2 linked regions of the Tribolium castaneum genome follow. The protein of the gene in region 2 interacts with the protein of the main gene of each other region in a pairwise test. Links are inferred from orthologs where the notes say so. Each region holds a gene or a part of one and is shown on either strand. Other genes may lie near its edges.

Evidence for each region.
Region 1: the proteins of U3 small nucleolar ribonucleoprotein protein MPP10 (region 2) and U3 small nucleolar ribonucleoprotein protein IMP4 interact in a two-hybrid assay, tested with the Drosophila melanogaster proteins (2 studies listed by BioGRID). The link is inferred for Tribolium castaneum from reciprocal best matches to the Drosophila melanogaster genes CG13097 and CG11920.

What each region holds. Positions count from the first base shown.
Region 1 is NC_087395.1:22,014,949-22,018,665, forward strand, and holds U3 small nucleolar ribonucleoprotein protein IMP4, read left to right. Parts: upstream 1-1,625; 5' UTR 1,626-1,810; coding exon of another isoform or gene 1,811-1,847; intron 1,848-1,907; 5' UTR 1,908-2,060; coding exon 2,061-2,813; intron 2,814-2,913; coding exon 2,914-3,099; 3' UTR 3,100-3,136; downstream 3,137-3,717.
Region 2 is NC_087399.1:8,513,121-8,516,898, reverse strand, and holds U3 small nucleolar ribonucleoprotein protein MPP10, read right to left. Parts: upstream 2,406-3,778; 5' UTR 2,327-2,405; coding exon 2,247-2,326; intron 2,199-2,246; coding exon 839-2,198; intron 790-838; coding exon 652-789; 3' UTR 630-651; downstream 1-629. Other genes in the region: protein SLC31A2, read right to left, coding at 1-159, 205-476; zinc finger protein 142, read left to right, coding at 3,200-3,778.

The sequences.
Region 1 (3,717 bases), on a different chromosome or scaffold from region 2:
AACTCGTTGATGTTTCTGCAGCGAGAAGTTAGTACATTTAATTAATTATTTTTATGTGAGTCTTTTTATAGAGGCTGCCACTCAATGCAAACACAAGAAGTATGGTGTGTTTAAAATTGGCGAACGTAAGCCATACCCTAACAAGACATGTGCAGAGATAATTTGCAAGTCTACCGGAAAATTATCTAGTCTACAGTACGAAAATTTGAAGTCTTAAATTGTCGTAATTTATTTTATTTCAGGTGCAGTCGCCACCTGAAGGGTAAAAATGGCTGTAAAATAGTTGCGGGAGATAGGAAAAAACCTTTTCCGAATTGTTGCCCCCAGATTTCCTGCCCAGTCAAAGATACAAATAAGGGTTAACGTAGCGGAGATTTAAATAAATCGGAGATCCAGCTTTTTTCGGAAATAAATACATTGTTAGTACTTACAATTCTATTCGGTAATAAAAACAGCATAATACGGATTTTGTTGGATTTGTGATGTTTTTTATCAAAATTAATCATTGTTGAATGAAACTGCGTAATAATTCTTAGTAATGTCACAACCGACAAATACAAAATTGCTCTAAAAATCATAAACAAGCAAAACTAATAAAACAAAAAAGCATATATAAAATCGTGATCGCTCCTGATTTGTAGCAAGGAAATAAAATATTTTATTTCTCTGCAATTTTTAAGCAGAATAAAATAATAACACGTATTTCAAGTCACGTCGCAATTTTTTCTCGTTTATTACTAATTGTTCGGGTGTTTATCACTGCAACTAATAATTACTAATAAATGAAACAATGATAAAATACCCACTATTCTTTCCTCCCAAACCAAGCATGACCATGAAGTGCTTTTTAATAATATTAAATTTGTGTATTTTACAAATTCATTGCGGCGTAGGGCCAGGATTGAGATCTACTCCGCCCTTAAAAGATCAAAGTACGTTGCAAATTTCTTAGTTTGTTAATTAAATTCATAAATATTCTAGAAACTGGATGTTTTGACGAAACATTGGGGCATCTAGAGTCCCGTAAAAAGCTACCGGTTCCAGGCAAATGTGCAATGGCTCACTGCCAACCCGATGGGTCTATATTTGTTGATGGAAGGTTAAATTCCTAAAGATTTACATTTAATTTCAATTATTTTTATTCGGTTTTAGGTGTGCTTTGCGCCTAATGAGGGCTCCAAACTGTTCCAAAGACCTCCCGGTTGATCTAACAAAACCGTACCCCCATTGTTGTCCCGTCAAATGTATAATAAAGGAAAATCCGTGACGATTGCTTCTTGCCTGAGGTGACGACAATGGGTACTTCCCCCAAGGACTGTTCGAAGAAAATAACACACAAATGTTTTACTTAACTGTCTTAGATTTGTATGCTCAGTGTACCAATAAACAATTTTATTACTCAATAACTTTATTTTTTCACCCTCTTTATATCCTTCAATTTTTTTAATTTTTGTAGGAGATTAAGCGAAAACACATTAGAATGGTCAGGAGATGTTCTACTCTACAATTGTAATATATGCAAGTCAGAGTAACAGCTTATTAATGTTTTTATAATGATTTACCCTTATTTTGATAATTTTCCTGGTGTGAACTTGGCTGTAGAAAACGAGAATGGTGGGGAAATGGTGCGCACAGCGATTGTCTGGTCGACTGTAATGTTCATGGTGCCACCGACATCCAAGCGTGACAATTCTTTCCAAACACAGGAATAACATTTCGTGTTAGCAGTTTTCAATTATTTTGGGCTCCAGACAATTAAATAAGTGACGAAAAAATGATAGTTTAACGCGTTAGCGCTTTGTGATACGCAATGGAAAATTTTCAAGCCAAGAAGCCAAAATCGGAAGGTTTGTTTACTCATTTTAGTTTACATAATAAGTTCCCGCAAATCTATAATTACTCTCTAGATTAGAGTCATTGCGTGCGTTTCAAAGACAGACTTTTTGCGCCCAATTATTAATAAACAAACAATTTTCCGTTCGTTTTCCTCGCGTTGGCAGCAGCGATTGTTTGCTGTCACCTGTCAAGTGCACGTGTTCATGAGGTTATAAACTTAGAAAATGTTACGCCGCCAAGCTCGCTTACGACGCGAGTACCTCTACCGGAAAACCGTCGAAGACAAGCAAAAATCCATCCAAGACAAGAAGGACCGCATCAAGCGCAGTTTAGAGGAGAACATCCCCATCCATGGGGACCTCCAGAAGAAGGCCCTGCACTACTCCAAGAAGCTCGAGTGGGAGGACGCGGGGCCCGCGGCCGCCGTCCAGCTCGGCGGCGAGAGCGGCGGGGCCCTAGCCAGCTCCATCGACGACGAGTACAGATACGCGGGGGTCGAGGACCCCAAAATTGTCATCACGACGAGTCGGGACCCCAGCTCGAGACTCAAAATGTTCGTCAAGGAACTGCGCTTGATTTTCCCCAACGCCCAGCGGATGAATCGGGGCAACTACGAGATGAAGCAGCTGATTCATGCGTGCAGGGCCAATGACGTGACCGATTTCATCGTAGTGCATGAGCACAGGGGGGTGCCGGACAGTTTAGTCGTTTGCCATCTGCCCTACGGCCCCACCGCCTATTTTACGATGTCCGATGTTGTCATGAGGCATGACATCCCCGATTTGGGGACCATGTCCGAGCAATACCCCCATCTGATTTTCCATAATTTTAAAACGAAACTTGGGGAGCGTGTCACGAACATTTTGAAGTACTTGTTTCCAGTGCCCAAGGAGGACTCCAAACGGATAATCACCTTCGCCAACCACGACGATTATATTAGCTTTAGGCACCACAATTATAAAACAGTCGATAAGCAGGTAAGTCACCCCGGAAAATTAAATTTTCTATACAACTATTTGAAAAAATCCGCCGGTTTTGTCCTTAGTATCGATTAATTGAAAAAAAAAACATTTTCAGATCGAATTGTCTGAAGTGGGGCCCCGATTCCAGCTGCGCCTCTATGAGATCAAGTTAGGGACTTTAGACAATGCGGACGCTGCCGATACAGAGTGGGCTTTAAGGCCCTACATGAACACAACGGTGAAACGGAGATTTTTAAGTGACGAAGACGGTTGGCTTCAAGAGGACACAATGATCTCATAACTTTTATTTACTTTTTTAATAAATTATCTGACGACGATGTGTTTTATTTTTTTATTTTTCTTCCTTATTGTTTTGTTTGGACAATGTGTTAATGGAAACAATAAATTTAGAAGTAACAGGTGTTTCGAGGAGCGGCAGAGTGCGCAAGAAGTCGTCAAAGTTGATGGACTTCGAATCGCCGGACGACATTGATAGGTCCTTTAACAAAAGGCAGGGAATTGGGCGCAAAGCGGACTTTGAAGTGCAACCACCTCGGAAAATGGCGCGCCCCGAAGATGTAATTTTCACTTCTCTATCAATAAATACTCAAACACAATTTGAAGGTCTTCATCAAGTCTGAACACAGTTTTGAGAATTACGACGAAGCGAGCGAGTCCGACTACGAAAGCGAGTATGAACTCCCGGCCAATACAGAATCGAGCATTGATTCTGTAGACACAGACAGCGACTTTGACGAACAGGAAACAGGTGGCTTCAAACGACTTGATACGGACACTTCCAAGAAACGGCTGATTATCAAGGACGGCAGAATCGTCAAAACCGACAAACACCCAAGTAAGATATAGTATTTTGATTCCAGGGGCCCTGATTACGCTTTTAGGGGGCGGCAAAGGTGGG
Region 2 (3,778 bases):
TTCATAAACATTTGGCCGAACACGAAATAACCCAAGCCTCCGCCCACCACAGCTGAGATAAACAACCATCCATTGTACAACATAACAGACAACATCAAAATATAACCTAAGTTTTGTAAAGAGAACCAGAGCCCAATCTCCGAGACGAATAAAAACGTTCTAAAACAAACGTCTTGTTTTTATTCACATTTGTAATAGTACAACCTGTGCATTGGCGTGATTGTGACCCCGGGGGGCGCTTGAGTCCCATCAAGCAGTGTCGAGGTCTCAGTGGGGCAAATCGTTTTCAGTTGCTCCGACCTGAGGATCAGTTCTTTCTGGCGTTGTTTGGCTTGCAGGTAACGGAGAAACTCGAAAGCGAAAGACATGGAGGCCACGCTGAGACACATACCGACAAGGCCCGCGATTGAGTGTGACGACAGCCCCCGGAAGAGGTAGTCGGTAAGTTTGTAGTCCCACCAAAACGACATATGCATGGCGAAACCCGCGTTAGCACATTTTATCAACGGTTTTAAAGAGAAAAATTGAGGTTATGTTCACCACATCAAAATTCAACGATAAGCTTATCAACGCTTATCACTTGAAATTGTTAGTTATGTTATTTGTAGGTAAATGAGAAAAACACGCAATTTACAGTAAGGATTTATTCATTTACAATTTTAATTTTTTCGCGCTCTTTTTATTGGTAGTAGGGGCCGCTTTTCTCTTAATTTGCGAAACCTGGACTTGTTCTTGCAACTGATTGAAAAACTCCTTGGACGACTTTATCCTCTTTCCCTTGTCCTCCATCTGCAACCAAGGAAATAAAATAAAAGCCCTTAACCCAATCAAAACCCACCAAATTAACATTTTTTGCTTTCTTGACTGGTTCCTTCTTATTTTTGGCGTGAATTTTTTGCTTCAATTTCTTTTTTCTCCGTTCCCTTTTTTTATCAGTCGTTGTCCTTTCTTTCACTCCGACGAGATCACCTTTTGGTTTCTTTTGTATTTCTTCAGGTGCCAACAATGTGGCATCACTTACCGCAGTTGGCACCACTTCTTCCACACTAATCGCCGGTAAATTACTGATAATTTTCAAATCGGGAACTGCAGGCTTTGGCGTAAAGTGGAAATTGCTCAAAGCGTCCAATTTCGTGAACAATTTCCTCATCAAAGAGTTAATTTCCTTGTGGAGCTCTGGTTCTTCTTTCTCCCTATCTTCGGGTTCTTGCGCTTGAAGAAACTCCTTCTCGTAGATTTGTGCCAAAGACTCTTTGCTTTTTTCCTGGTCCAAGACGATTTTTTTCTTATAGTCTAACAAATTTTCCACCGGCTTTGCCTTACGTTCCACACTATCAAACACTTTGTCTTTGATTCTTCTTTTTATGATATCCTCCAACTGCATTGTGGTTTGTTCGGTCATTACAGGGGGCGGCCTTGTCGTCATATCAAACTCCACGACCTCCTCAAGGAGCGAATTTTGGGGCCGTTTCTCGGCCGTTATTTCACCCTTTAATTGCCAAGTCTTGTCCTGAATTGCTTCCTCTTCAATTTCTTCGATTTTCTTAGCCAGACGCTTTTGGCGCAATTCGAAAGTCGACGGCTTTTCTTCATTTTGGACGAAGAAGTCTTTGTATTTCGCCGTCTTTGCGTGATCTTCCGAGTCATCGGAATCAGCCTCAAATAAATCAACACTTGCCTCAGATTCAGAATCGTTGCCGGAATCAACACCTTCCTCTTTCTTCTCCTCTTCGCGAAGAAAACGCTCCATTTCGTCCAGTTTGAAGAAATCATCGTCGACGATTGACCGTTTTACGGGTTTGCTCGTTTCGGTCGTCTCGACTTCATCATCAGAGCTCTCCACGTCGTTTAAATCGTTTGATTCATCACCACTGGTGTCAGAATGCTCCGAATTTTCCTCAACTTCACTTCCATCATCGTTTTCTTCAACTTCACTTCCGTCATCGCTAATTCCACTCTTGTCTAGATTTTTAAATAAAAGTCGGCTTTTACCAGCGATTAGTCTGCTAACACAAGTCACACTTTTGGTGGTTAAATTCTCGTTTTGTAACTCGATTTGTTGCCAAATTTGCTCCAAGTCGAAATTTTTTACATTTAATTGTGGCAAAGCGTCCGTTCTGGTGATTTCCTCCGCTTTCGCGTAATCGTAACATTTTTTTAAGCTAGTTTTGATTTTCTCACAAAGAGGGTCACTAATCCTGCAAAAAATTTACACAACTGTTACACAAATTGATAAAATAACTCACTGGAGGAAATTTGTAGGTTTGTGCGTTATCTCCTTAAAATCTGAGAGGCACGTATTGTAAAAATCCGTAGTTTGTACCATTTTTTCCGCATTACAAATTTACAAACACATGTTTTTTAAGGTTATGGTGTGCAACAGAACTACTCGTGTGACCTTCGGTGAGAGTAGTTTATAGTCGAAGTTAAATTTTATGGAAAAATAATTTGCAAGCGTTTGAAATCCTTTTGAAGGCTGTGATCATTTGGCGTGAGCTAACTGATTTAATTAATTTATTATTTGTAATAATTAGCGGTAGTCTTTCCCGAGGGGTGTTTGTCCACCAAGGGCGGTTCCAGGTGGGGGGAACGGGGGTCATGGTCTCGCCCAAACATCAATTTAATTTTTTTTATTGGTAATATAAAAGCGTATCAAACAAACGTTTTTAATGATTCATCAAACGAATTTATAAATAAAATAATGTAAAAACACTTTTAGTACCGGTTTATAGAAGCGTCATTAATTTAATCTACAATTAAATGCGTGATTAACTGGTCACGTGACCACATTCAAACAATTGGACTGGCCCATTCGTGTTGTTAACTTTTAACAACGATTTAAATTTTAACAAAGCATTCAAAAAGTCTTTAGATCAACTCTTGCTGTGCAATTTATATTGACAGATTATGTCTTTTTTTTATTTGATATATTATAGTGATAGATTAGTGACATATAAAAATGCAGAAATTGAATGTATACTTAAGTTTTAATTTAAATGATTGAGAAATGGTGCCAGCTGCAAGCGCAGCAGTTGTCTGGTCGACTGTAATTTCCACAGTCCCACCCCAATTTTTAGTGCACCTTCACCGACTGTCAGTGCATACGAACTACGCTCCATAACCTAACCAATGTCTTGAAATAAAACATTAAAAAATGCGGTTTTAACCCGAATTGTGTACGTTCTTAATGAACTGTGAGATGGGGGACATCGATTTGCACCCCCTTGGCTCCGAAAGATTCCGCAGTTCTCGAAGCCACCCTTTCACAACATCCACCTTTTTCAGCTCAAATTCCAAGAGACGTAGAGTTTTGGAACCGTACAAGTGCATCGACGGCCTCCTCGAACCGTACAAATGCCTCTCGTGTCGTACCTTAACCCCCTTTTTGGCCCAACTGAAGACACATTCCTTGACACAAATCCCCATATATCGACAAAAAAATGAGACAGTGTGCTACGTTTGTGAAAGTTGCAACTTCAAAACTTACTCCCGACTGATTCTCTTGAACCACATTTACTCAAGTCGGTGTAAAGTCACCGATAAAAACTCAGTGTTGATGTTAATGAAACTGGTCGATAAGTCGGGAGAGACGACGATAAAACTCTACTGCTCCGAGGGAATCCCCCGGACGCTGCACCACGTCCAGCGGCCCGCGCGCCAGCCCCCCGGGGTCCCCTCGTTAATCCCGTGCCATTTATGCGAGTTCAAAACGAAAGACAGAAATTACCTCAAAACGCACGTTTTGCGGAGGCATACGCCCCCGGAGGCCATCACGTGG